7 linked regions of the Oryctolagus cuniculus genome follow. The protein of the gene in region 3 purifies or fractionates together with the protein of the main gene of each other region. This does not show direct contact. Links are inferred from orthologs where the notes say so. Each region holds a gene or a part of one and is shown on either strand. Other genes may lie near its edges.

Region 1 (4,272 bases), about 220 Mb from region 3:
AGGATCTGGGTGCAAAGGCAGAGCTCACAAATCACCCAAAGGACCCCCAGCTACAACTGTCCCTGAAATCTAACATCCTGAACAGTGGTCCCAAACCCGAGAAGCACAGCAATTTGTCTGGGAAGTTTTTAAAAGTGGATTCTCACCCCCACCACAAACCACCAGAGCTGAGGCCCAGCACCATGGTCGTCTTTAAAAGGATAAGACTGATTCGTTTATGTCCTCTGAAAGGAAGAGAGACAGAGGGGACGAGCAGGACCGCGACATCAATCTGTCTTCTGGTTCATTCCCCAAATGCCCACAAGAATGGGGCTGGGCCAGGCCACCGCCACCAACTCCATCCGGGCCGCCCATGAGGATGGCAGAGGCCGTCCCAGGCACATCACCACAACTGCCGAGCAGCCAGGACCCGAACCAACGGATACGGCTGCCGGCATGCCAACAGCAGCTTAACCCACTGCACCACAATGCTCACGCACCCACGGCCTCCACGTCCCGCGGGATTCTAACACAGGCCAGTCCACCACCACCTAGAGCAGGGTGCATCGGCCTCAGCCCCACTGCTGTTCGCGCTGGGTGACTGTCCTGCGCGGTGTCCCGGGCCTCTGCCTTCCAAACACACAGCACCCACCCCCGAGGCTGGCAAGCGTCTCCCAACGCTGCCCAACGCTTCCCGGGGTAGAATCACCCCAAGTTGAGAATCCCTGATCTATAATTAAAAACAACCATTTGAGGTTTTCTTAAGAACAGGAAGAAGCGTGAAAGCTGCCTAAGTCAGTCCAAGAAGCCCCACTGGGCTCAGATCCTGACTTAGTGCTCCCCGTGAAGCACCCCGAGGCTGGGTTCCCGCTGAGCAGTCAAAGACCGCCATTACTGTCGCTTACTCTGACGTGCAGGAAACACTGTAAAAACTGTCAGTCAACACATGCTCGGGCTGATATCTGAAATTCAAAACCACAAGACAAGCTCATGACGGAATGCCAAGCCTGGCCAATGCTGTTTCAGGAATGCTTACTTGTAATAAAGACACTATCTCTGTACCAAACACGCAAAAATTTATCTTGAAGAAACCAAACACGCCTCACCCGTCAAGTCTTCATCTACACATCCAGCTGTGGCCTGACTCTAATTCCCAGTCAAAACCCGAAAGATGTTTCTGTTTATTTGTCTGGCTTCTTGTACTCTGCACAAAGCTCGAGTCTCCTTCCGGTCTGAGTAAGCCACAGCAGCCTGATGCCGGTCCCCACGGGGGCCTCCACAGGATCAGAATCCACTTCCCGGGCCAGCACAGGCACCGGGGGCGGGGGGGCAGCGGAGGCCTGGGCGACTGGCCGCCGCCGCCGCACTCCGCTCCCAGCTGCACCCAGACGGGAGGGCCCTGGGGTGCACCCACACCCCACCAGGGGCGCCTCAGAACCCCGCGCAACACTCCAGGAAGGACCCCAAAGGTACACGAGGCAGAGTCCCAGGAAAGCGCTGGGCGGCCCTCTGCGTGTAGCCCCCTCCTGGAACACCAGCCCTGGCTCCAGCCCCCGGATCTAATCCCACGAAGCTCCATCAGCCCCCTTCCAAAAAAAAAAAAAAAAAAAAACACAAAACTACAACTTCCACTCATTTCCGACCCCAGCTGACTCTAAACTACAAAGCAGGCCGGGCCGAAACGCTCGTCCGACTCCCACCGGGGCCTGCGCGCGTCCCAGGCCCGGCCCGGCCCGGCCGCCCCGCGCACAGGTGCCCCGGGACCACGCAAGGTCACGGCGCCGGCGAGCCGCAGCCTCGCGGGGCAACCGCGAGCCTCGGGCCGCGCGCTGCCCATCAGCAACGTGACCTTGAGGGCAGAAAAAGTAAACTCCACCCCGGCCAGGCGGGAGCGGCCCCGAGCGCGTCCCCCGGTGCCCCGCACTCGCCCGGACACCTGCGACTCCGCCCGCGCCCCCTCGGCGGGCAGCACCTGCGCGGCGGCCGCGGACGCGCGCCTCCCGGACGGGGGTCCTCGCGGCCCCGGCCCCCAGGAAGGCCACGGGAGCGCGGCGGCCGGCTTCGGGGCGCGTCCCGACGACTCCGCGCCCGGCGGGGCGAAGCCCACCAAACTTGCTTCCCGGAGGACAGAGTCCAACAATGGCCCGCGCTCGCCCGCGGCTCCCCGGGACACGCGGCGGGGGCGGCCGGGGCGACGCGGGCGGGAAGCCGGAGCCCCGCAGGGGCGCGCCAGGCCGCGGGCACCCGCGCCGCGCCGAGCTCGCCGCCCGGGCCGCGGCTGACAGGAGCGGGCGGGCAGCGGCGCGGCAGGGCTCGGCGCCGCGCCTCCCGGGCCGCCGAGCGGCGAATTCCGGGGGGGAGGGGAGAGGGGCCGGACGCTCCCGCCCCGCGCCGAGACCCCGGCGAGGCGCCCCTCGCCCGCCCGCGCGCCCCGCCGCCCCCGCGCCGCGGCCCGCCCCGAGGCCTCCCCACCCCCATTACCTGGAGGCGCCCACGACCCGCCGCTAGTTGCGCTCAGGCGGGAAACGCGCTCACCGACACCATCAGCGAAGCGCCCAAAATGGCGGACGTATCAAGCAGGCCTTGAGTGCCCCCCGCCCTCCCTCCGGCCGCCTCGCAGCCAATCGCGGCCCAGCCCCCGCCCCCAGCTCCACCCTCATTGGCCTCCCTCTCCCGCCCCCTTCAACCTATTGGATCGCCCAGCGGCTCCCTTGCCTCCCCTTCGATTGGCTCGCAGGCCTCGTCAGTCAAACGCGAGGGGTACATTCTTTTTCCCATGGACTTGACGGATCCGGAACCTCTAGGACCCTGGAGTCGCAGAAACAAATCAGGAACCGGGAGAAACTTGGCTCGGTCCAGCCCCCTACGCCGTAGCAACAGCAGGGCCTCTGCTTGACGGACGCCTCGGACCACCAATCTGAGCGGCCAATGTCTCTTGAAACTAACTTGAGCCAAACCAATCGCGGCTGTGGAGCCTGAGCCGCGAGCGAACCAATGGGGGAGCGAGACGGGCGGGTAGGCGGGGCCGAGGGGACCGGTGATGACGTGAGTCACAATACGCGCCGGCGCCGGAAGCCGTGCGGGGCCGGGGAATTAGCTCAAGTGGTAGAGCGCTCGCTTAGCATGTGAGAGGTAGCGGGATCGATGCCCGCATTCTCCACTGCCAACTTTTACGGCGGGGATTACCTGTCGCGTGCACTTCGCCGCCGTCACGTGGCCGCCCCGGGCGCGGGGGTCAAGGCCAGGGTCGCCGAGTGCCCCCGGCCCTGTGGGGCCCTCCCCAGCGCGAGCGGCGAGAGAGGCCGCGCGGGCCCCTCCCTTTTTCCACAGGGGAGGGCCTCCCCGCGAGCTGACCTCCGCGCCGCCCCCCGGGGACCCCAGGCCCGCGACTCCGAGGACGGCCCTGGGGGGCTCCTCCCGGACCAGGCTGCGGCGCGGGGCGCGGACAGCCCCCCCAGGTGCCCGCCCAGGTGTGGGCCGCCTGGACCCCGTGCGGAGAAGCGTCCTCAAGGCCTGGCGGCCCTGGCTGGGGGGCTGGGCCCTCGTAGACCCCGCGGGGCGCTGGCCTCCCCGCAGCCGCGGTCACCCGCGTGGACTCCGGCAGGGCGGAAAGCCGGGTCGCGGTGAGGGCGGGCACACACAGGCAGGTGACCTGGGCGGGGCAGGGCCGAGCGCACCCTCCCCCCCCCCCACGCCCTGGGAGGACAGGGTGGGGCCGGCACAGGTCTGGGGTGGGGGGACACACCGGAGGCCTTGGAAGTCGGCCAGAGGCACCTACCTGGGGCTTGGGCTCCGCCCGTGGGAGCCAGGGCGGTGCAGGGCAGGTTGGAGCAGGAGCCGCCCAGGGCCGGAGGGGCAGGCCTGGACCGAGGGGGCCGAAGGCTGCCAGGGGCCTGCCGGGGGCGGGGGCCAGCCCAGGGGGAGGATTGGGGGGGGCAGCCCAGGGGGAGCAGGCTGCAGGGGGGGAGGACTGGGGGGACAGCCCAGGGGGAGGACTGTGAGGGGGCAGCCCAGGGGGAGGATTGTGGAGGGGTCCAGCCCAGGGGGAGGACTGTGGGGGGGGCAGCCCAGGGGGAGGATCGTGGCGGGGAGCAGGCTGCGAGGGGCGGGGGCCAGCCCAGGGGGAGGACTGTGGGGGGGGAGGCCCAGCCCAGGGGGAGGACTGTGAGGGGGCAGCCCAGGGGGAGGATTGTGGAGGGGTCCAGCCCAGGGGGAGGACTGGGGGGGCAGCCCAGGGGGAGGATTGTGGAGGGGTCCAGCCCAGGGGGAGGACTACAGGGGGGTGGGGGGAGC
Region 2 (4,132 bases), on a different chromosome or scaffold from region 3:
GCAGATAAATGACTCCCACTTGGAGAGCCTGGCCCGTGGTGAGCTTGTTTCACTGGAGGATTTCAGAGTCCCCCCCCTCCCCGGCCCCCGGCCCCCGCCCCCGCCCTGCCCCACTTGCCCCGCCCCAGCAGGGTGGGCAGGCGTCTCCCTGTGTTCTTAGGAAGTGAGAAGCATGGGCCCGGCCAGCTAGGAAAGGCTACACACGGTGGTCGCGCACCTGGCGGCAGCTGCCCTCTTCCTCTCACCTGGAATGCGAATTGGAGAGCAATGATCCACCGAGGATCACCTAGTTTAATCTCGTGTAACCGAGCCGAGGGACAGGGCGGAATGGTTTCTTCGAGCTAACCCCACAAGCTGCAGCCTGTGTATTCAATGCCGGCTACCATGGGCTGGCATTCCTGCGCCACCATCTACATGAGCTTACATGAGACCCGGGCTCTAACAGAGGTGGGAAGGAGACTAACTCCTCCAAGGCCCCGTAACCCGTGAGTCGGCAGAGCCAGCCAGGACCTGCCAGCTCCAGCGCGCACCTTCCACTACATCACTGGCCGGCAGAGGAGGGCTCCTGTTACCAGTTACCTCGCCCCGCTGGCTGTCCTCTGCCTGGGGGGAGCAGGGAGGGTGAGTCAGCGCCCCCACCCTGGGGAGCTGCTATCAGGGAAGTGGGGGGAGGCAGTTGGTCAAATACCCTGCAGGCCGACCGACTGTATCCACAACAAGCCGTGCGGAGTTGCTTGGTCACTCCAGTTCCTGTAGGCGAGGCCAGGCCTGGTCAGCTGTAGCTGCCCTCAGTGGCTCCTCCCTGAACTTTCATCACACGCAAAAAAAAAAAAAATCTTTCCTCCTGTCCTGCTGGAACCTGCCTCTTAAAGGGACCAACAAGCAGCTTTGAAGCTGAATTTGAGAGCGGATAAAGGACTTTGCTAACCCCATGAGGACCTGGCCGGTTAGCCTTCCATCCCCGGACTCTCCCCAAGAGGCCTCCTCCCCGCCCCAGCTTCTCCCTGGTCCCTGCTGCAGGGAAGGGGCAAGTGCCCTGGGATGTCAGCTTCCCACATTCCCTGCCCTCAGGATGACCCCACTTTGGCTTCCTGCACCTGTTTCCCTGGGACGAGCCTCCCAGAGCCTGTGGCCATCCTTTGTTCGGGGCCTGCTGAGGCTGGAGCGCTGGCACTGAAGGGGTTAAAGGCCCGTGCACAGCACTGTCCAGGGTGTTTGAAGTAGGGCGGGGAAGGGAAGGGCTAGCGGAGCTGAAGAGGCCACTGGTCTGCGCTGGAATGAGTGCCCTGTCTCCCATGCAAACTCCTGGACCATGAGCAGCTCCCTTCACAGGACCAAGAAAGAGGCCCCCCCATCAAGGTGCTGGACTGGAATCTTAAAGGGACCACTGGAAACAGGACTTGTCCCTGTAGTGAGGTCCCCACCTGAGGGCAGGAACAGGTGCCCCATCTTCGGGACTTCTCCCGGGTCCGGTGAGTTGCCTTCCTCTCTGTGCCGGGTCTTCCCCGGGAGCAGGTGTCTTCAGGAGCCCCTCTTCTCCACTCAGCCTGCTGCTCCCAGCTGCCTTGTTTGCTTAGGGTGTGTGTGTGTGTGTGTACACACTGTGTAAATAGGGAACCACAGCCATGGCCAGTGGTTAATTAACACAGCTTGTTTGGCAAATGATGCTAAACCCTTTATACACATTCATTCTTTATCCTCATAATCCTATGGGGTTGACATACCAGAATCCTTATAGTAAATGTATGGCTTAGAGAAGTTAAATAACTAACTGTGTCAGTTAAAAGTTGTAGGCCTGGGGTTCAGATTCAAGTTCATGGCATAGCAAAGTCCATTATGTTCTTTTTGGTCTTGTTTTCCCACACAGGAGGTGTAGACACTAAGGATGTCTCTGGAATCTTGAAAGCCTGACATCCTAATTCTCCCAGGGCTTCCTTCCTCTTATCCTGTCGTGGGTTCCTTTGATCCCTGGGGGCTAACTGGGGAATATAAAGAGCCACCAGCTCACACCTGAGAGCTAGGGCCTTACAGATTGTCATCCACCAGACTGGGGGTTCTCTGCTCCGCCCACTGCCTTGCTATTTTCTGGGAGCTAACAGGTTAATGCTTGGGCTAAGGTGGCCAAAGTCTTCTCAGGTGTGTCCCTTGAACCTCAGGCCCTCTTGCCCCACCCTCTGGCACAGCAGCCAGAACTCATGCCAAGAAACCGGCAGGAGGTTCGAGAGGAGTGGTTGGCCCGGCCCTCCTTCTTCCCTGTCCCCCATGTAGTACGGGCTAGGCTGGTCCCGAGCCCCGGTACAATCGGCAGACAGCTACAGGTCCTGCTGAAAGGAACAGGACAGAGTCCCTGGGTTTAGTTTAATAACCAAAACAAAGCAAAACAAAACAAAAAGCAGGTAATCAGACTTGGAAGCCCAAGGCAACAAAAATTCCTGGCTGACGTGTGAGGCCGGTTGATTTTATCATCGAGGTGGGGGTGATTTAGGGTGGATGTTTGAGATGCCTGATTGCTGACTTCCTAGACAGGGTGTGGTTGGGTTAGGGGGCTGGAGATGCTGACTGCCTGTCCCATGTGGAACACCCAGAATTGAGAACTGATAGTAAACTTGGTAGCTGCCCTGGGAGCAGGTGGATGGCTTTCAACCCAGAAGCTGATGTGGGAAGCGGCTTTCGCCTGCACTGGCCCCTGCCTGGATTTGCATGTAGAACCTCTGGTTCCTCTTTCTTCTGCCTCATACTTGGGAGATGCTGAAGTGATGTTTGCTGAATGAATGGGTCCCAGAGGGGAGCCTTTGCCTTCTTGTCATAGACCTGCATGTCAGAGAAGAGAATGGGTTCCAGGACCCCGGCGTTCCAGCTGGCGGGGGTGGGGGTGGGGGTGGGGGTGGCGGGAGGTGGCAGAAGCTCAGGCGCTGCTGCCGTGCACGGAGCTGTCCTGTGAGCAGGAGCGTGCAGGCACGGGGCCCCCAAGGGCCTTCTTTGCTGAGGCCAAGAGAAGCTCAGTGTTAGCTCTCTTCGGATTAATGGTTCACTTCCCAGGGGAGAAGCTACGGGAGGTTAAACGTTGAACCATCAAAGGCTTTCCTGTGACCCTGTGCTACCAGGGCCAGGAGCCCCGGAGGAGAAGCCAGCACACACGTCAGCTGGCCTCGGCCTTGCCGCCCAGGGCTTATGGGTCTTCTCCATTGTTGCCCACCCTCAGGAGGTTTAGGATCCAGCACAGGACACGGGACACGGGGTGGACACGAGACACAGTTGCAGGAAGCCCCTCAGGCTGCTAAGGAGCCGGCAGTGTTGCCGCGGGGCCAGCCCGCTGTTTGGTTGCTATCTGCAGTTCCTAGCCTCAGTAGTTGCTGGCAGCAAACATAACCGAGGGCCCTGCCTGCCCCATACCTCCTTCAGATTTCTAAGACAACAGAGGGAGTAGAATGGACAAATTTAACTTCTTTGGAACCTCCATCTAATTTCTTTTGGAAGCTGCTTCCTTTTTTTTTTTTTTTAAGATTTACTTATTTGAAAGAGTTACACAGAGAGAGATGGAGAGGAGAGACACACAGAGAGTTTCCATCTTCTGGTTTATTCACCAGATGTCCACTATGGCCAGGGCTAGGCCAGGGCAAAGCTGGGAGCCAGGAACTCAATCCAGGTCTCCTGCGGGTGGCAGGGACTCAATCACTTGAGCCATTGTGTGCCGCCTTCCAAGACGTGCAGAAGCGGGAGCCAGGGATCGGGAGCGGAGCTGGCACTCTGACAGGGGCTATGGACAGCCTGAGCACTAGGCCACATGCCCACTCCTGCTGGGGCTTCCGTGTGCCCGCCTCCCCGACACTGGCTGCAGAATGCTCTGTTGGGAACGCAAGGCTTGATGTCTCTCTCCTCCCCACTGAGATTTGGAGACCCAGTGGCTCTAGACCAGGAGCCTGCCAACTTTTTTGGTAAAGACCCAGATAATAAATATCTTGGGCTTTGCAGGCCATACGGTCCCTGTCGCGACTACCAGCTTTGCTGCTAAGGCAAAAACAGCCCAAGACAATATGTAAATGAATGAGTAAGGCTTTGTTCCAAAAAAACCCTTTATTTATAGACACAAAGTTTTTTAATTTTTTAAAAAAGATTTTATTTATTTGAGAAA
Region 3 (4,001 bases):
CTTGAAAAAAAAATTTTCTAAAAATTCAGACAACCTTCAAGTTATAGACTCTCTCCTCCAAAAGTACTTACATATTCAGCAAACTAGACTTTTAGTATATGTGCTGCCAAAGCGAGCACCAAACTAGACTTTTATCACTCCTTCTTTCACTTAGCAACTTATGAAATCTAAACCATCTATTGAGCTCTGTTGTCCACTCACTCTCAGGTACTTTATTCTTATTCCCTCAAAACAGGCAGATTCGACCTGGTACTAGTATTTTGACCATTTCAAATTCAGTTATAAAGAACTTGTTATCACACCTGAACATCCTATGTATTTATTATTTAATGTTGCACCTCTAACTTCTAATAAACTTAAAATACAAATAAAAATTTACTTTCCTTTCTACCCAAACAAGTCTCTTCCATCATGTTCATTAAGTGGCCCCAATTAATTCTTTCCATCCTCTAACAGAATATTTTCTACTGACTTGAAAGCATCAAAGGTGCTCCTAGAGTATTTTTTGGTCTGCCTATTTTTAGTTTGTACTTCATGCCAAGAAAAAGAAACATAAATTAAATTTCTTTAAATACTCTGGAGGTGCCGGCGCCGCGGCTCACTAGGTTAATCCTCCGCCTTGCGGCACCGGCACACCGGGTTCTAGTCCCAGTTGGGGTGCCGGATTCTGTCCCGGTTGCCCCCCTTCCAGGCCAGCTCTCTGCATGGCCCGGGAGTGCAGTGGAGGATGGCCCAAGTGCTTGGGCCCTGCACCCGCACGGGAGACCAGGAAAAGCACCTGGCTCCTGGCTTCGGATCAGCGTGATGCGCCGGCCACAGCGCACCAGCCGTGGCGGCCATTGGAGGGTTGGAGGGTGAACCAACGGCAAAAGGAAGACCTTTCTCTCTGTCTCTCTCTCTCACTGTCCACTCTGCCTGTCAAAAAAAAAAAAAGAAAGAAAAAAAAAATTTTCCAAAACAGAAGTCTCTAACAGAGAAAAATCCAGAATTTAAGTAGTTGCTCAGAAGATATAAAGTTTATTAAGAATCAGATGCAAATAAATACAGTCCAACTATGTTTCAACAGGAAATAAAATGGTTTAATAATTACTTCCTTCAGATAACGTTTAGCAGACTAAGAGATCTAAAGAAAATCCAACTGTTTTTCAAGTAATTTGTGTCCCACCTCAAGGTAATATCAAGACATATTTTCTGAAACTGAAATCACAAAGTACAAAACGGCTTTAAACATAACAAATGAAAACAGAATTCCACATCGATTCATTAACATGCAATGAATTCACCAAAAAGATGAACAATGCTACCAGCAGAGGCCTGGCCAGTTCTCCATGAACGGGTTCCCAATGCTGGCTACACAGCACGCGTCTGAAGCACTGGGAGCAGAAACACTACACTACCATTAATAAAAGCTGTCCTTAGTGAAGCTATCCTATTAAAAATGGGGGGGGGGGGGACGAGAGTGATTATCCCAGCATAAGCACATACAATTCATTTATATTCACATCAGGCCAGGGAACCTGAAAAATTTTGCATACTTGTTGAGTGAGGTTAAATATCAACTTCCGGTACCAAAGGATATAGCAAAAACACAAACACGGTCACATCTACTTTTGTAACTTTACAACCCACGGCTTAATGAAAGCATGAAAAGCACTCGAACCGTTTACAGCTTACCCACTTAGCACAGAGCCCATCAAAGTTAACAGAACAAATGAGACACCGGCACTAGCGGGTAACCGCTGCTGGAAACCCAAGCACTGGTTTCAACAAAGCACAGAAACGCTTTTCCAAAATTATCCGACCCCGACTCCTGCACCCACACACACAATCCCACCACTCGGGCAATAACAAGCAAAAAGTCACCTTCTTCCAAAAAGCCAAGAAGTGGGTTTCGGGGGCACGACTTCCAGGCGAGCAAGCTACTGGTATCTGCACACTTTACCCAACACCGCCACAGACCGGGATTCCCAGCTGAATTGGCACGAGAGCCAGCACGCCCAAGGAGCAATGTGGAGCGGCGTACGGAGGGACACGACGTCCTCTTACTCCGCTCGGGCCCCGCCGCCCCGCCGGACCTCAGCGACCCCGGGAGCCGGCCACCCGCGCTCCTGTCACCTCCGGGGAGCACCACCCGCTGGGGCTCGACTCCGGCTCCGGGGCTCGGCGCTGCGGCTGGGGAAGAGCGGGGTCTTCCCGGCGAAGCTGTAACGGCTCCGCGTCCAGGGGCAGCCCGCAGGCCAGGAGGGGCGACCCCGGAGGAGAGCCCGCGACAGCCCTCGGGATCCCCGGCGGGGGAAGCCAGGACAGCATCCGGGCACTCGGGCTCTCCCGTCTCCCCGCGTGACGCCGAGCCCGAGGGTCGCCTCCCACCGCGGAGGGCTCTCCACCGCGACAGGACTGGACACCCGGCAGGGGTCCCGCGGAGAGAGGAAGGGCGGACCGGCGGGCGCCCCACAGCCGGAAGGGGCGAGCCCCGCAAGCGGCACTCCCGCCCCGGCCGGGCTCACCTTCAGGTCGTTTTCTGGCAGGTACTTGCACAGCCGCGCTATCTCCACATACTTGTCCAGGTCTAGCGGCGCCATTTTAGGAGGAACAAGCCGCGGCGGCGGCGGCGGCGGCGGCGACGGTACTAGCGGCGGCAGCGGCGGAGGCCGAAGCCGGAACTCTCCCTACGTCACGTCCGGCCCGTGAGTGGCGTCTGCGCAGCGACGTTAAAGCTTGACCGGATTCTCCGCGCCGCCCCCGCACGTCCCGCGCCCTCGCTGACTGATCCCAGGCTGCAGCCCGAAGAGGTCCCCTCAATTCCGCCCGCGAAACCTGCTGGGACCCGTAGTTGCCTGCCGCGGGGGTTGCTGGGATTTGTAGTTTTCAGTTGGAGCCGGCTTCTCTTTTTCCTCCTCTTCCCGGTACTTCACCCCTGGAGACCCGGCAAGGCTTATCGGAGGCAAAACGGCGAAGTAGGTGACCTGAGCGTTCTGTGGCTTCTCGTTGCGACCCTTTTAGGCCCTCTCTCAACAGGACATCCTCAGTTAGAAATTGGGTAAGCCTGCCCGTAGTAGCCTGGTTGCGCCTTTCCAAGGTTTTGCAAAAACCTCGGTTAAACCTGTGGCGGAGAAGCCGAACTCCCAGTCGTCTGGTCTTGAGGATGAGAAAGGAAATGTCAAAGCGTTTCTTGTACCGGATGCCGCAAGGGTTCTTTTATTCTGTGTTTTCTTCCCCGCCCCACTCCCCTTCCCCCATTAATTCTCATGATTGCTGGGAAGGTAAGGCTTGGAGACCCTACGTAACTTGCCCCACATGTCACCGGAAACGAACGGTAGAGTCAACATTGGAAAACAGGTCAGCTGGCTTAAGCAGACCTCCGTGGGAGTCCCACGAGGGAGGGAGTTTAATGTTGTGTCCCCAACCGAGTAAGATCACCTGGCACTGAGTAGGCCTTCAGCATTCATTGAGGCATTCGTCATTCCGCAGCTGTTTACCAAACACCAGCCATGGGCCAGGTACAACTGCAGGCGCTTGGGATACGCAGTCAACACAGTAGACAAAGACGGGCGTCCACAGCCTGTGGTTGACAGCTAGGACGGGAAGACACCACGCTGCCATCAATGCATAGCGTTTGAGAAAGTGACGTGTGCTAGGGGAACAACGCGGCAGAGTAAGGACATGAACTTTGAAAGCCATCTAAGAAGTGGGGGAGTTGCCCATGCAGCTACCTGAGGGATATGATAGGGAGGAGCTGGTGCGGAGGCCCTGAGGTGGACGCCTATCTAAAGTCTTCGGGAAACAGCAAGATTTGTGTGGTTGGAGCAGAAGTGAGAGGAGTAGGAGAGATCAGAGAGAAAAGGAGAAGAATACTGTGTTTTTTTGTTTTGTTTTTTAAGGATTTATTTATTTGAAAGTCACAGTCACACACAGAAGGAGAGAGAGAGACAGTGAGAGAGGTCTTCCATCTGCTGGTTCACTCCCCTAATCAGCCACAATGGCTGGAGCTGCTCTGATCC
Region 4 (3,500 bases), on a different chromosome or scaffold from region 3:
TTGTTTCTGTATATCGTGTGGAAGAGAGTCTTGAGATTATATTGCCTTCTTTTTCTAGGTAGCAATTACAGTGAAAAATGTGACGTCTTCAGCTGGGGCATTATCCTTTGGGAAGTGATAACACGTCGGAAACCTTTTGATGAAATTGGTGGGCCGGCTTTCCGAATCATGTGGGCTGTTCATAATGGTTCGTAAAAAGAAATTTTTTTAATGTACTTTGTATTTCATATTTGGAAGATTGTTTCTGTCTTATCTCCATCCCCTCTCCCAAAATAAGGAAAAAAATTATCCCTAACCTTAAAAACTAAAATTCTTTGTTATCAAACTATATTTCTATTATCAATCCCCAGCCCCTGAGTCTAGTAGGGCAGATTTGGGGATTTCCCTGGCCTCCATACAGGGCTGAGAATGTGCTACTTGTGCATATTAGAGAAAGGCCATCAGAACACAACCAGTGCCAAATCTCTGTCTCTCTTGAGCATAGAGAAGGATCATACTAGGCTCTCTGAAAAATTAAATACATAAATAAAATCTAATGTAGTTCAGATAATTGGAAAGTTACAGCCTTTTTCTCCTGAGGAAGCAGAGTCTCAGTAAGGAGAAAAAGCAACAAATAATGATAAGAGTTGTTGGTTAAGCTCATGAAAGCAAAACAGAATGCTTTACATACCCTCTCTCTATAGTCTCACACAGCCTGAGGAGGTAAATTCGGTTGTCTCATTTTACAGGAAAAAGAGACACAAATAACTCGCCATGGTCTCAGGATTAGTAAGTGGCAGAGATGGGATGCAAATCTAGATCTTTCTGACTCAGTTGCTGTATTTTTCAGACATATTGACTGAGGGACTCACTATTCTTATTCCTGCATATCTCTAGTAATGATATTTCTAAGCACTTAGGTATTTATTTCTAACCCCATATGATGTTAGCATGATCCTCTTCATTAATAGTTATTCCACATTTGCTTTGGGAAAATAAACTCTTCATGAAGGACAGTTACTTAACCTTAGTAAGCATTAGCCTTGTTCTTCATTTCTTTCATTCGAATGTAATCATTTTGATTTGTAACATTTATATTTACTGTTCCGTAAGTAATAAACACAAATGTCTGCCTAACTATTCAGGTCATTCATAGAAGATCATCAGAACAATTTTAGCTGTTTTTATCAGTTTTCTGTACCACTTGCAGTGTTACTGCTGTCAGGGTCATGGTAGGGAATGCTAGATCATTGACCAAGACAGTTTGTTCTCTCTGTCAGCTGGCAGTGAATGATTGAATGGCAATGAAATAAGGAGTAGAAGAACTAACTTGTTACTTCATAAAATTACCAAAACTTCGTATTTGAGGCCTATGTTAAGTGGGACCTTACTAATAATTTTACACAGGTGTAGGACAAAAAGTTGGAATTTTGAGCCTTGAAATGATTGATTCACAGCAACCATAAGGTCTCAAAAGAGTCATTTGGAAGTCAGCAAGTATACTACTGTAGTTGACCAACTTTTTGATATAAAAGATAAGTTTTCAAACACATTTTGAAATTTTTGAAATTTAGGTAATGTTTCTTCAAACCACCATTTGAATTTTCTTTTAAAGATTTATTGATTTGTTTATTTCAAAGAATGACAGAAAGGGAGAAAGATTGAGATCTTCCATCCACTGGTTCACTCCCCACATAGCTGCAATAGCTGGGGCTAGGCCAGGCTGAAGCCAGGAACCAGGAACTCCATCCAGATCTCACACATTACGCCATTTTTTGTTGTTGTTGTTGTTAAAAGAGCATAACAAATATTGTTACTTCTCAATCTTACTGTTCTATATTGTACAAGTTTTTTTTTTTTTAAAGATTTTATTTATTTATTTGAGAGAGTTATAGACAGTGAGAAAGAGAGAGACAGAGAGCATGGTCTTCCATCCACTGGTTCTCTCCCTAATTGGCTGCAACGGCCACAACTGCAGCCATCTGAAGCCAGGAGCCAGGAGCTTCTTCCTGGTCTCCCACGTGGGTTCAGGGGCCAAGGACTTGGCCATCTTCTACTGCTTTCCCAGACCACAGCAGAGAGCTGGATTGGAAGAGGAGCAGCCAGGACTAGAACCAACACCCATATTGGATGCTGGTGCTGCAGGCGGAGGCTTAACCTACTGAGTCACAGCACTGGCCCCGATGTACAAGTTTTAATTTAACTTTTTTAAAGATGTTTTCCCTTTAGGAAAATATACATAAAATAAATGTTAACTTATAGGACAAAAATAAGTCCTTTTTTTACTCCAAAATATAGTTTTTAAATTACAAAATCTATAAAATAAACACTGCTTTGGGAATACAAATAAAGAACTTGCTCCATTCTTTGGGTAAATACATTGCTTTCCCTCCTTCTCTCATTTTTAATTATAGGTACTCGACCACCACTGATCAAAAATTTACCTAAGCCCATTGAGAGCCTGATGACTCGTTGTTGGTCTAAAGACCCTTCTCAGCGCCCTTCCATGGAGGAAATTGTGAAAATAATGACTCACTTGATGCGGGTATAATCCTTCTTTTGAGGGGCTTTGAATTTAGGGAAATTTAATGTATACTGAGTTTGAGTAGGGCTTAGAGTAAAGGAGACATTGTAACCATTTTCTTCTTTCTATTTTTGGGTTTTCATTACTCATATAATCAGAAGACCCATTTGGAGTATGAAGGGGGAGTAGTCTAGTTCCTTGTAATGGGAAGATGTTTAGGCTAGGTTTCTGGTTATACCTTTTCATACTGCTTACATTAGTGGACATGTGTTTCCGTTGTCTCATCTGTAATGTGAGAGAAGCTGAATTAGATGATCTGTTAAGCCTTCGCAGGACTTGGGTATATTATGACTTTCACACCCAATGAAGGAAATTTAAAATTTTCTGATATATATCATCAGACATTCAGTATTAGTCAGTCATTTATTTAGTTATACAGGACAGTAGAGGGAGAGGTTGCATTCCCAAATACATTTGAGTGATTATGTTTTACTATTTGTATTTTTGTTGTATATGAAAACCTGAAAAGGTTTTTATAGCTAAAAAAAATTTTTTAAGTTAACCTTTCTTCTAGGATTTATAGAATATTTTAATTTTCCTAGTCTACAAATCAAATACATTAGAATCATTTGAAATAGTTTAGACTTCTAGATTTTGGTAGACTAAGAAAACAACCAAATAGAATGTTTGCTTTAAAATGTTACTTTAAAATGAAAGTACCTGAAATTCAGAGCAATTTGATCAGTAGAACAACCTTGCAATTTCCTTAAATATAGACCAAGTGATTTCCTTAATTAATACCCAGAGATTACTTTTTTTTTTTTTTTTTGACAGGCAGAGTTAGACAGTGAGAGAGAGAGACAGAGAGAAAGGTCTTCCTTTTCTGTTGGTCCACCCCCCAAAATGGCCACTACGGCCGGCACGCTGCACCGATCCGAAGCCAGGAGCCAGGTGCTTCCTCCTGGTCTCCCATGCGGGTGCAGGGCCCAAGGACCTG
Region 5 (4,086 bases), on a different chromosome or scaffold from region 3:
TCCATCTGATGGTTCACTCCCCAAAAGGCTGCAACGGCCGGAGCTGAGCTGATCTGGAGCCAGGAGCCTTTTCTGGGTCTCCCAGTGGGTGCAGGGGAGCCGAGCACTTCGGCCGTCTTCTGCAGTTTTTTCAGGCCATAGCAGAGAGTTGGATCGAAGAGGAGCAGTCAGGACTGGAAGCGGTGCCCATACGAGATGCTGGCACTGGAGGTAATGGCTTTACCTGCTACACCACAGCACCAGCCCCATGAATCTTTTTTTTTTTTTTTAAGATGTATTTATTTACTTGAGAGGCAGAGTTACAGACAGAGAGAGGGAGAGACAGAGAGAGAGGTCTTCCATCTGCTGGTTCACTCCCCAAATGGCCACAATGGCCACAGCTGAGCCAATCCAAAGCCAGGAGCCAGGCTCTTCCTCCGGTCTGCCATCCAAGTGCAGGGACCTAGGCACTGGGCCGTCTTCTACTGCTTTCCCAGGCCATCAGCAGGGAGCTGAATCAGAAGTGATGCAGCTGGGACCTGAACCAGCGCCCACATGGGATGCCAGTGCCACAGGCAGATGCTCAACGTACTACACCCATAAATCTTACACACACGGAAAGTGGTGAACAGCTGAGAGATGAGAGATGGCAGGACCCGAGAGGCATGTCAAGCCTGTCAGAGAGAAGCCATGGGGGAGGTTGGGGCAGACTGGGAAAGAACAACAAGCTGGCGCCGGCGCCGCGGCTCACTAGGCTAATCCTCCACCTTGCGGCGCCGGCACACTGAGTTCTAGTCCCGGTCGGGGCGCCGGATTCTGTCCCGGTTGCCCCTCTTCCAGGCCAGCTCTCTGCTGTGGCCAGGGAGTGCAGTGGAGGATGGCCCAGGTGCTTGGGCCCTACACCCCATGGGAGACCAGGAGAAGCACCTGGCTCCTGCCATCGGATCAGCGCGGTGCGCCGGCCGCAGCGCGCTGGCTGTGGCGGCCATTGGAGGGTGAACCAATGGCAAAGGAAGACCTTTCTCTCTGTCTCTCTCTCACTGTCCACTCTGCCTGTCAAAAAATAAAAAAAATAAAAAAAAAGAATAACAAGCTGGCAAAGGGCTTAAGGACAATTGGGAAGCGGAGATTTTGCAGTGAGAAGTGGCAGCGCCACTGAGGGGAAGGATCTCACTGACAGGCAGCGGAGGAACAGTGTGGGGACCACTGACAGGCGGGGTCTCCAACAGGAGCACGGGGTGTGGACAGGAAGGTCACAGAGGAGGGAGGGGGCACCAAGGTGGGGGTGAGCACTGACATCAGGGGTCCTCCCATCTGACCGGGTCGGGGGTAGGCTCTGAGCGACCCAGGGACCCTGACAGGCAGGGATGGCAGGCACTTCTAGGCCAGCACAGTCACTGCTGAGGAGGGCGCTGACCACGGGGAAGCCAACAGAGATCACAGACAGGGGAGGGAACTGCTGCAGACGAGGTCAAGGGGTCACCAAGGCTCACACACAGGCTGGCTGATAGGGCACTGACTGACAGGGCGCTGATAGGGATGCTGACTAACAGGAGGCACTGACTGACGGGGGCACTGACTGACAGGGCGCTGATAGGGATGCTGACTAACAGGAGGCACTGACTGACGGGGGCACTGACTGACAGGAGCACTGACTGACAGGGGGCACTAGCTGACGGCACTGACTGACGGGGGCACTGACTAACAGGAGGCACTGACTGACGGGGGCACTGACTGACAGGAGCACTGACTGACGGGGGCACTGACTGACAGGAGCACTGACAGGGGGCACTAGCTGACAGGTGGCGCTGATTGATGGGGGGCACTAGCTGACAGGGTGCTGACAGGACGCTGACAGGGCACTGACTGACAGGAGCACTGACTGACGGGGGCACTAGCTGACAGGGGGCACTGACAGGAGCACTGACTGACAGGAGCACTGACTGACAGGTGGTGCTGACAGAAGGCATTAGCTGACAGGGCGCTGACTGACAGGGCGCTGACTGACAGGGCACTGACTGACAGGGCACTGATTGACAGGGCGCTGACTGACGGGGGGCACTAGCTGACGGGGGCACTGACAGGGCGCTGACTGACAGGTGGCGCTGACTGACAGGAGCACTGACTGACGGGGGGCACTAGCTGACAGGGGGCACTGACGGACAGGCGGCACTGACAGGGCACTGACTGACAGGGCGCTGACTGACAGGAGCACTGACTGACGGGGGGCACTAGCTGACAGGGGGCACTGACGGACAGGCGGCACTGACAGGGCACTGACTGACAGGGCGCTGACTGACAGGAGCACTGACTGACGGGGGGCACTAGCTGACAGGGGGCACTGACGGACAGGCGGCACTGACAGGGCACTGACTGACAGGGCGCTGACTGACAGGAGCACTGACGGACAGGGGGCACTAGCTGACAGGGGGCGCTGGCTGACAGGGGGCGCTGGCTGACTGACAGGCGGCGCTGTCAGGCGGTCGGGACGTTGACTGGCAGGAGGCACTGACGGACAGGGGGCGCTGTCTGCCTGACGGGAGCCGCTGCCTGTCCTTCCCGCCGGCCGGGCGGCCACACTCACCTGCCCCGCGGGCCGGGCGTCGCGGCGGCTGCTCGGAGGCCCGAGTGGAGGCCAGGGCGCGGGCGGCGGCGAAGCCCGGGTGGCCTCGGGCGCGCCGCACCCACATGGGCCTGGCCAGGGGCTCGGCGCCTTCCGACACGGGCGCGGCCGGCCGGCGGCTCGGCACCGCCAGGGACCCGCTCGGGGCCGCGGGCAGCCCACGGCTCTCCGCAAGATGGCGGCCGCGGCGGCGCGGGCGCGCGCGCGCTCTCCGGGCGCGGGGGCGCGCGCGCTCGCGACCGGGGCGGGGCCGGAGCCCCCGGGCGGCCCCGGGGCGGGATGCTCGCGGTGACGTTTTGCTGGACCGCGCCAGCGCGGAACGGCGCCGCCGGGTGTCTGCATCCCGTCTCCTGCCGCACCCCGAGCTTCGCACGTTCGGTCCGTGCGGGTTTAACATGCGTGGGAGAGAGGGGTGTCCGTCCGCCCCTTCCCCCGAGAGCGCGCTCCCGCGGCCGACAGGGCGCCGGCCCGCCCCCCACCCTCTGCGCCCCTCCCCTCCGGGCCGGCCACCTCCCTCGGAGGCCCCCACCTCCCCGCGGCACCTGTTCCCGCGGCCAACGGCTTCCGCTTGTCACCTCCCACCATCCGAGGGAAAGGGTTATGGCGAGCTGTGTCCAAGGAAAATCCTGGGAGGGGTGCGAAGACCTGAGCCTCAGGGCCAAGAGGACCCCCGCCCTCGGGCCGTGTCCACCCCCCCACCGAGACCACCCTCTCTCAGGCCTGTCCCCCCCATGACCGCCCTCACTCAGGTCCCGTGTCCCCCGTGACTGCCCTAGCTCAGAGCCGAGCCCCCCGTGACTGCCCCTCTCTCAGGCCTGTCCCCCATGACCGCCCTCACCCGATCCCATGTCCACCCACCCGGAACCGCCCTCACTCAGAGCCGTGTCCCCCCCCCATGACCGCCATCAGGCCTGTGCCCCATGACCATCCTCATGCGATCCCGTGTCCCCCATGACCACCCTCACTCAGAGCCGTGTCCCCCATGACCACCCTCACCTGATCCCGTGTCCCCTGTGACTGCCCTAACCCGATCCTGTGTCCCCCATGACTGCCCTAGCTCAGAGCTGAGCCCCCCGTGACTGCCCCTCTCTCAGGCCTGTCCCCCATGACCACCTTCACCTGATCCCGTGTCCCCCGTGACCACCCTCACTCAGAGCCGTGTCCCCTGTGACTGCCCTCACCTGATCCCGTGTCCCCCATGACGGCCCTAGCTCAGAGCCGAGCCCCCCGTGACTGCCCCTCTCTCAGGCCTGTCCCCCATGACCACCTTCACCTGATCCCGTGTCCCCCGTGACCACCCTCACTCAGAGCCGTGTCCCCCATGACCGCCCTCACTCAGATCCCGTGTCCCCCGTGACTGCCCTAGCTCAGAGCCGAGCCCCCATGACCGCCCTCACTCAGGCCTGTCTCCCATGACCGCCCTCACCCGATCCCATGTCCACCCACCTGGGACCGCCCTCACTCAGAGCCGTGTCCCCCCGTGA
Region 6 (3,500 bases), on a different chromosome or scaffold from region 3:
TGGAGGATGGCTCAAGTATGTGGGCCCCTGCACCCACATGAGAAACCTAGACGGAGGAAGCACCAGGTTCCTGGCTTCGGTCTGATCCAGCCTCAGCTGTTCCAGCCATTTGGGGAGTGAACCAGAGAATGGAAGTTCTCCTCCCCACCCACCCTCCCTCTCTGTGTCACTCTGCCCTTCAAATAATAACAAAATAAATATTGAAAAAAAAATACAGGGGTCTGTGCTGTGGCACAGCAGGTAAAGCTGCCACCTGTAGTGCCAGCATCCCTTATGGGTGCTGGTTGAGTCCCAGCTGCTCCACTTCCGATCCAGCTCTCTGGCCTGGGAAGGCAGTAGAAGATGGTTCAAGTCCTTGGGCCCCTGCACCTGCATGGGAAACCAGAAGCTTCTGGCTATTGGCTTTGGATAGGCACAGCTCCAGCTGTTGCAGCCAACTGGGGAGTGAACCAGTGGATGGAAGACCTCTCTCTCTCTCTCTCTGCCTCTCCTTCTCTCTCTGTATAATTCTGACTTTCAAATAAATAAATAAATCTTAAAAAATATATAGATCTTTCATCCACTGGCTTACTCTCTAAATGGCTATAATAGCCAGGTCTGGGCCAGGCTGAAGCCAGGAGCCATGAACTCCACCTGAGTCTTCCACATGGGTGGCAGAGGCCCAGGTATTTGGCCATCTTCCATTGCCTTCCCATGTGCATTAACAGGAAGCTGGATCAGAAGTGGTGCAGCCAGGACTCTGAAAATAGTATTCTGATACGGTATGCTGGTGTTCTAAGTGGCAGCTTAACCTGCTGGCCACAACACTGGCCCCTATATTTCAGAAGTCATAGAATTAAAGTCTTAACCTACTCTGTGGTTCACAACCAAGGAGACGGATCCAGTGGCAGCATCAAAACAGACTGTGGTGAGTAAGCGGCAAATGCTATGGAAAGCTTGTGCTCATCATTCAGGATGACACAGCACATTCTCATCAGCCGAGCGTGTCTGCCCTCCCCATTCCACTTACACCTGAAAACACCCTGGGGAAACATGCTTCCTAAAAGGCAGAATTCTAGTGCCATCATTATTATTCTAATTATTTTTACAATGCCAAGTAACAGTGCTGGGCATGTGGTACAGCAGTTAAGATGCCACTTGGGATACCCACATCCCACACTGCAGTGCCTGGCTTCAAATCCTCTCTGTGCTCAGATTCCTGCTTCCTGCTGATGCACACTCTCAGAAGCAACAGGTGATGGCTAAGTAGTTGGGTCCCCATCAGACATAAGGGAGAGCAACACTGAGTTCCCGGCTCTCAGCTGTTGTGGGCCTTTGGGGAGTGAACCAGTAGGTGGGAGAGCTCTGCCTATCTGTCTCCCTGTTTTTCAAATGAAATAAATAAATATTTTAAAATTAATTTTAAAACCCCTTAGTAACAGTATTTTAAATTCATTTACATACTTTACTACTAGCCAAATGTAAGGGTGTATTCAAGTCCTTATCCTTTATGGTCAGATCAGCCTGGGCACTGTTCACCAAAATATCTATAGAAAAAGCCAAAAGAGGGTTATTTAGATTAGATGCTAATCACATACATTTTCAACAAGTTATTACAAAAATGACATTTCTATTAGTACAGTTCCCATTTGATGTTTTGAAAGAAAAAAAGGAACAATTTATTGCTATATTTGTTCTATCTCCAATATCAACAGGCATTACTTTTATTTTACAGCTTTCCATTAAGACCAGTTAGATGATTCTGCTCTTTTACCAGGTTGCTAAATGCTGAGAAATGCCACTGCACAAAGGTTGGCTCACGCTGGCAAGGTCCGCTAATGATCAAGTCACAGGGAACTGAAAATGCCTAAGCACATAGTTAGGTGGCCTAACTGAAACTGTTTGTGGCCCCTTTTCACACGTGCACACCAAGAACACGACTGATTTTTCAAATTCCCATTATTTTCGTTTGGGGAAAAGCACGAGTATGAAGTCCACATGACAAGCACATACCCACGGCGCCCGCCTGTCCGTTCTCAGCAGCCATCATCAGCGCCGTTTTCCCTGAATTGTCTACTGCATTCACTTGAGCGTTGTGTCTCAAAAGAAGCTGCAGGCACTCCACGTGGTCAGCAAAGGCTGCTGCATGGAGGGGTGTCCTCAAGAGTTCAAGCAAACACGATTTTAGTCCCTTACACTTTACCCTGTATTTGATCAATGCCTGAGAAACACACGCACGGTGGTGTCTTCAGGAGTTAAAACGTCTCAGTTCACGGGGACACTGATCAGGGTAGACTCTGAAGTGTCACCTATGCAAATGGCAGTCCCTAGATTAGGGGAGGGGTGTATGCAGGGGCCCTGTTAATGAGATTAGCATCTTTGGTTTCCCTTTAATCTTGAGACCCAGTGAGTTCATTTTCATCTTTGAGATAGATATTTGCAAAACTAAGTCTTCACATTGTAGGTAATTGGCTGATTGAGTACAAATTTTTAAGAGTCTATGTCATCTAATGTGGGTGGCTGATTTCTCTGGAAGGACAATTTGGCATTATTTGTCAAAATTAAAACCTTATTGGGGGGCCAGTGCTGTGGCTTAGTGGGTAAAGCCGCCGCCTGCAGTGCTGGCATCCCATATGGGTGCTGGTTCAAGTTCTAGCTGCTCGACTTCTGATCCAGCTCTCTGCTGTGGCCTGGGAAAGCAGTAGAAGATGGCCCAAGTCCATGGGCCCCTTCACCTACATGAGAGACCCAGAAGCTCCTGGCTCCTGGCCTTGGATTGGCTCAGCTCCAGCTGTTGTGGCCATCGAGGAATGAACCAGAGGATGGAAGACCTCTCTCTCTCTTGCTCTGCCTCTGCCTCTCTGTAACTTTGCCTTTCAAATAAATAAATAAATCTTTAAAAAAAACTTATTGGAGCTGGCCTAGTGGCACAGCAGGTTAAGCTACCACTTGTGACACCTGTAACCCATAGAAGTTACACCCATGTGGGAGACTCGGGTGAAGTTCCTGGCTCCTAGCTTCCAACTGGCCCAGACCTGGCTGTTGAAGCCAGGCAGTGAACTAGTGGATAGAAGCTATCTCTTTCTCTCTCTCTCTCTGTTTCTTCCTCTCTCTCTCTCTGTTACTCTGCCTTTCAAATAAATAAAGTCTTTAAAAAGACATACAATTTAAAAATACTGATCTTTTAGCCTAGGACATTATTTTCAGATATACTTGGTCATACGTACAGACATGTGTATGAGAATGTTCATTAAACTACTCTGAAATAGCAAAATATTGGAGACAATCTAAATGTTTTTCAAAAGAGGACAGGCAAAGTAAAACCTAGTAAGCCAGATAATGAAATAACGTAGTTTTAGAAGGAATACACTAGGGGTGGCTTTTGGTATAGCAGTTAAGATACAACATCTGCTTTTGATATAGCTTCCTGCTAATGTGTACCCTGGGAGGACAGCAGGAGATACCCTAAGTAAGTAGGGCCCTGACACCATGTGGGAGACCCAGATTGAGTTCTGGGTTCC
Region 7 (3,500 bases), on a different chromosome or scaffold from region 3:
CAGGACTAGAACCCAGTGCCCATAGGGGATGCTGGCGCCACAGGCAGAAGATTAACCAAGTGAGCCATGGTGCCGGCCCCGCTATTTAACTTCTCGTGTCCTGATGTAGTCTTTTTATTTTTTTGACAGGCAGAGTGGACAGTGAGAGAGACAGAGAGAAAGGTCTTCCTTTGCCATTGGTTCACCCTCCAATGGCTGCCGCGGCCGGCGCACCGCGCTGATCCGATGGCAGGAGCCAGGAGCCAGGAGCCAGGAGCTTTTCCTGGTCTCCCATGGGGTGCAGGGTCCAAGCACCTGGGCCATCCTCCACTGCACTCCCTGGCCACAGCAGAGAGCTGGCCTGGAAGAGGGGCAACCGGGACAGAATCCGGCGCCCCGACCGGGACTAGAACCCAGTGTGCCAGCGCCGCTAGGCGGAGGATTAGCCTAGTGAGCCGCGGCGCCGGCCGATGTAGTCTTTCAAAGGAGTCTGTACACTGCCTGAGAACATGATTTAAAGCTTTATATTTCTTTGTATTCTACAAGGTACCTAGTACATAGTAGGCACAAAGAATTGCTGATTGGATTTTCGAAGAACATACACTTCTTTTTTTACTTTCAGTGTTCCACAAACATTCAATGTAAATCGTAAGACTGTGTTTTTCTTTAAAAACAAGAACATTAAAGTATAGTGTACTGACTCTTGACCAAGGAACACTGAAGGCTTAAAAGTAAATCCTATATATCTCAGTACAGTTGTAGTCCAATTTAACTCAACAAATATTCAAGTAGTGAGATAATTAACTTCCACATTATGGCTGAGAAAAATGAATTCTAGAATAACCCAACTACAAATTTAATAACATTAGCCTTTCATTTTAATAAGATACACATAGAGCCTTAGTAAATATTCCTTTTAACTCTTCTTTTGGTTTAACCCGTAACTGCCCAGGCTCTCACCTGCTTTCCTGCCACTCTTCAGCACAGGCTACTTTAAGCATGCCTTGGTAGTTGTTCACACATCTTAACGCATCTGTAGCATTGAACTCAATCCCAAAGCCAGAACCATGCTGGATCCTTAAAACGTTGTCTCCAAACATCATTTCGGGGAGAGACGGCATGTGCAATTCATCGGCTAACCTATACACAACCAAAAGTCAGGTGAGATTATTTTATGTCACTGTTGGCACTTTTCTCACCTTTTTATCCCAACAGAATTCTTCCCACATTACTGAGTTAAATGAGATGAGTTAATAAACATGATATATTTGTAGTCTATAAAATGCTTTCAACATCCGATCTTTCATAATCAGATCTATAGGGTCCTGTATTAGAGAGTGGGCTAAATAAGACAGACAATACACAGATACATATTATAATGATAGTGGTAAGTGCTATGTGAAAAAATGAAGCAAGGTAACTGCGTCAAAACAAAGCCAGAAGGCTGGAGCTTCTTCCGGGTCTCCTACATGGGTGCAGGGGCCCAAGGACTGGGGCTATCTTCCACTGCTTTCCCACGTACATTAGCAGGGAGCTGGAATGGAAATGGAGCAGCCAGGACTCAAACTGGTGCCCATATGGGATGCCAGCACCACAGGCAGTGGCTTTACCCAATATGCCAGTGTCAGCCACAGGCAGGGACAGGGGCAGGGGGGGATACTATTTTAGGTAAGAAGATCAGAAATCACTTCTGAGACAGCAAAATTCAAGCATCAAAATACCCTATGATAGGACAGGCTATGTGTCACAGTGGGTGAAGTGCCCTTGCAATGCCAGCAATCCATTTCGGAGCCCCAGTTCAAGTTCTGGTTGCTTCACTTCCAATCCAGCTCTCTGCTAATATGCCTGGGAAAGAAACAGATGATGGCCCAAGTGCTTGGGCTCCTGCACCATGTGGGATACCTGTAAAGTTCTAGGTTCCTGGTTTCTGCCTGCTCCAGCCTCATCCATTGCAGCCATTTGGGGAGTAAACCAGCAGATGGAAGACCTCTCTCTCATTCTGTCTCTCAAATAAAATAAATCAAACTTAAAAAAAAAAAAAAAAAAAGACAAGGACTTTAAAAGCATGCTACAGGCCGGCGCCGTGGCTCAATAGGCTAATCCTCCACCTTGCGGCGCCGGCACACCGGGTTCTAGTCCCGGTTGGGGCGCCAGATTCTGTCCCGGTTGCCCCTCTTCCAGGCCAGCTCTCTGCTATGGCCAGGGAGTGCAGTGGAGGATGGCCCAAGTGCTTGGGCCCTGCACCCCATGGGAGACCAGGAAAAGCACCTGGATCCTGGCTCCTGCCATCGGATCAGCGCGGTGCGCCGGCTGCAGCGGCGGCCATTGGAGGGTGAACCAACGGCAAAAGGAAGACCTTTCTCTCTCTGTCTCTCTCACTGTCCACTCTGCCTGTCAAAAATAAAAAAAAAATAAAAAATAAAAAAAAAAAAAAAAAAAGCATGCTACAAAAACAAACACAGAGAACTGCACTGTGGCACTGATGGGTAAGCCTTTGCCTGGAGTGCCAGCATCCCATATAGTACCAGTTCAAGTCCCAGCTCTGTTACTTCCAATCCAGGTCCCTGCTAATGTTCCTGGGAGAGCTGCAGAAGATAGTCCAGGGGCTTGACCCCTGCACTAGCATGGGAGACCTGGGAAAAGCTCCTGGCTTCTTCCTGGCCCAGCCCTGACTGTTGTGGCCATTTAGGGAGTGAACCAGCAGACAGAATCAATTTCTCTCTCTCCCTCCTTCTCTATTTCTGCCTTTCAAATAAATAAATAAATCTAAAAAAAAAAAATACCATACTCAAACAAAATATTCTGTGAGCTAAGAAAGGGTCAGAATATTTGCATGGCTAACTCAAGATTATGGAACCAGTAACTGCTAACACCAGGTCTCTTTCCAATATACTAGACAGCTTTATATATACTGGGACCTCATTTAGCCAGTCTTATTAAAGAAAGTTATATGAGACATACTAAAAAGCCAAGACCACAAATTAGTAATCCACAGATGTGTTTTTATTGGCCTGTACAATATGTTTAATTTTTTAGTATTTAAAACTGTGGGTTTTTTATAATCTAGGCTTCCAGTTTCTCTTAAAAAAAAAAAAAAAAAAAACAGGACTGCAGCAGTGTGGCACAGTGGGTTATACTACCATCTGCAGCACCATCATCCCATTTGGGCACCAGTTCAAGTCCCGGCTGCTCTACTTCCGCCTGGGAAAGCAGCAGAAGATGGCCCAAGTGCTTGAGCCCCTGTACCCACATGGGAGACCCAGATGGAACTCCTGGCTCCAGCCTGGCCCAGTCCTGGCTGTTGCAGCAATTTGGGGAGTGAACCAGAGGATGGAAGACCTCTCTGTCCTTCTGTCTCTGCCTCTCTGTAACTCTGCCTTTCCAATAAACAAATAAATCTTTAAAAAATTTTTAAAAAGACCCAGCAACATTAGACTTGCACTGCACTGCCATGCACCATCAATTGGCAACAGTTGAGTAGAGATTGCCCCCCTTTAAGTGGGGCTGGGACTCTCCAGTTC

The links.
Region 1: the proteins of PPP6C (region 3) and PPP6R3 purify together in Homo sapiens (affinity purification with mass spectrometry; 10 studies listed by BioGRID and IntAct, with this or other methods). This does not show direct contact. The link is inferred for Oryctolagus cuniculus from reciprocal best matches to the Homo sapiens genes PPP6C and PPP6R3.
Region 2: the proteins of PPP6C (region 3) and ARHGEF2 purify together in Homo sapiens (affinity purification with mass spectrometry; 4 studies listed by BioGRID and IntAct, with this or other methods). This does not show direct contact. The link is inferred for Oryctolagus cuniculus from reciprocal best matches to the Homo sapiens genes PPP6C and ARHGEF2.
Region 4: the proteins of PPP6C (region 3) and MAP3K7 purify together in Homo sapiens (affinity purification with western blotting; 3 studies listed by BioGRID and IntAct, with this or other methods). This does not show direct contact. The link is inferred for Oryctolagus cuniculus from reciprocal best matches to the Homo sapiens genes PPP6C and MAP3K7.
Region 5: the proteins of PPP6C (region 3) and PPP6R2 purify together in Homo sapiens (affinity purification with mass spectrometry; 9 studies listed by BioGRID and IntAct, counting the BioPlex papers as one, with this or other methods). This does not show direct contact. The link is inferred for Oryctolagus cuniculus from reciprocal best matches to the Homo sapiens genes PPP6C and PPP6R2.
Region 6: the proteins of PPP6C (region 3) and ANKRD44 purify together in Homo sapiens (affinity purification with mass spectrometry; 5 studies listed by BioGRID and IntAct, counting the BioPlex papers as one, with this or other methods). This does not show direct contact. The link is inferred for Oryctolagus cuniculus from reciprocal best matches to the Homo sapiens genes PPP6C and ANKRD44.
Region 7: the proteins of PPP6C (region 3) and TIPRL purify together in Homo sapiens (co-immunoprecipitation; 4 studies listed by BioGRID and IntAct, with this or other methods). This does not show direct contact. The link is inferred for Oryctolagus cuniculus from reciprocal best matches to the Homo sapiens genes PPP6C and TIPRL.

The regions. Positions count from the first base shown.
Region 1 is NC_091432.1:4,119,791-4,124,062, forward strand, and holds the start of PPP6R3 (serine/threonine-protein phosphatase 6 regulatory subunit 3), read right to left. Parts: upstream 2,801-4,272; 5' UTR 2,667-2,800; intron 2,604-2,666; exon of another isoform or gene 2,461-2,603; intron 1-2,460.
Region 2 is NC_091438.1:42,686,948-42,691,079, forward strand, and holds the start of ARHGEF2 (rho guanine nucleotide exchange factor 2), read left to right. Parts: upstream 1-1,332; 5' UTR 1,333-1,472; intron 1,473-4,132. UniProt on the Homo sapiens protein: Activates Rho-GTPases by promoting the exchange of GDP for GTP.
Region 3 is NC_091432.1:229,001,644-229,005,644, forward strand, and holds the start of PPP6C (serine/threonine-protein phosphatase 6 catalytic subunit), read right to left. Parts: upstream 2,801-4,001; 5' UTR 2,583-2,800; coding exon 2,508-2,582; intron 2,437-2,507; exon of another isoform or gene 1,864-2,436; intron 1-1,863.
Region 4 is NC_091436.1:81,926,401-81,929,900, forward strand, and holds part of MAP3K7 (mitogen-activated protein kinase kinase kinase 7), read left to right. Parts: intron 1-58; coding exon 59-187; intron 188-2,393; coding exon 2,394-2,524; intron 2,525-3,500. UniProt on the Homo sapiens protein: Serine/threonine kinase which acts as an essential component of the MAP kinase signal transduction pathway. Plays an important role in the cascades of cellular responses evoked by changes in the environment.
Region 5 is NC_091442.1:123,276,733-123,280,818, reverse strand, and holds the start of PPP6R2 (serine/threonine-protein phosphatase 6 regulatory subunit 2), read right to left. Parts: upstream 2,801-4,086; 5' UTR 2,564-2,800; intron 1-2,563. UniProt on the Homo sapiens protein: Regulatory subunit of protein phosphatase 6 (PP6). May function as a scaffolding PP6 subunit. Involved in the PP6-mediated dephosphorylation of NFKBIE opposing its degradation in response to TNF-alpha.
Region 6 is NC_091434.1:43,289,597-43,293,096, reverse strand, and holds part of ANKRD44 (serine/threonine-protein phosphatase 6 regulatory ankyrin repeat subunit B), read right to left. Parts: intron 2,139-3,500; coding exon 1,993-2,138; intron 1,527-1,992; coding exon 1,444-1,526; intron 1-1,443. UniProt on the Homo sapiens protein: Putative regulatory subunit of protein phosphatase 6 (PP6) that may be involved in the recognition of phosphoprotein substrates.
Region 7 is NC_091438.1:30,559,425-30,562,924, forward strand, and holds part of TIPRL (TIP41-like protein), read right to left. Parts: intron 1,120-3,500; coding exon 940-1,119; intron 1-939. UniProt on the Homo sapiens protein: May be a allosteric regulator of serine/threonine-protein phosphatase 2A (PP2A). Isoform 1 inhibits catalytic activity of the PP2A(D) core complex in vitro. The PP2A(C):TIPRL complex does not show phosphatase activity.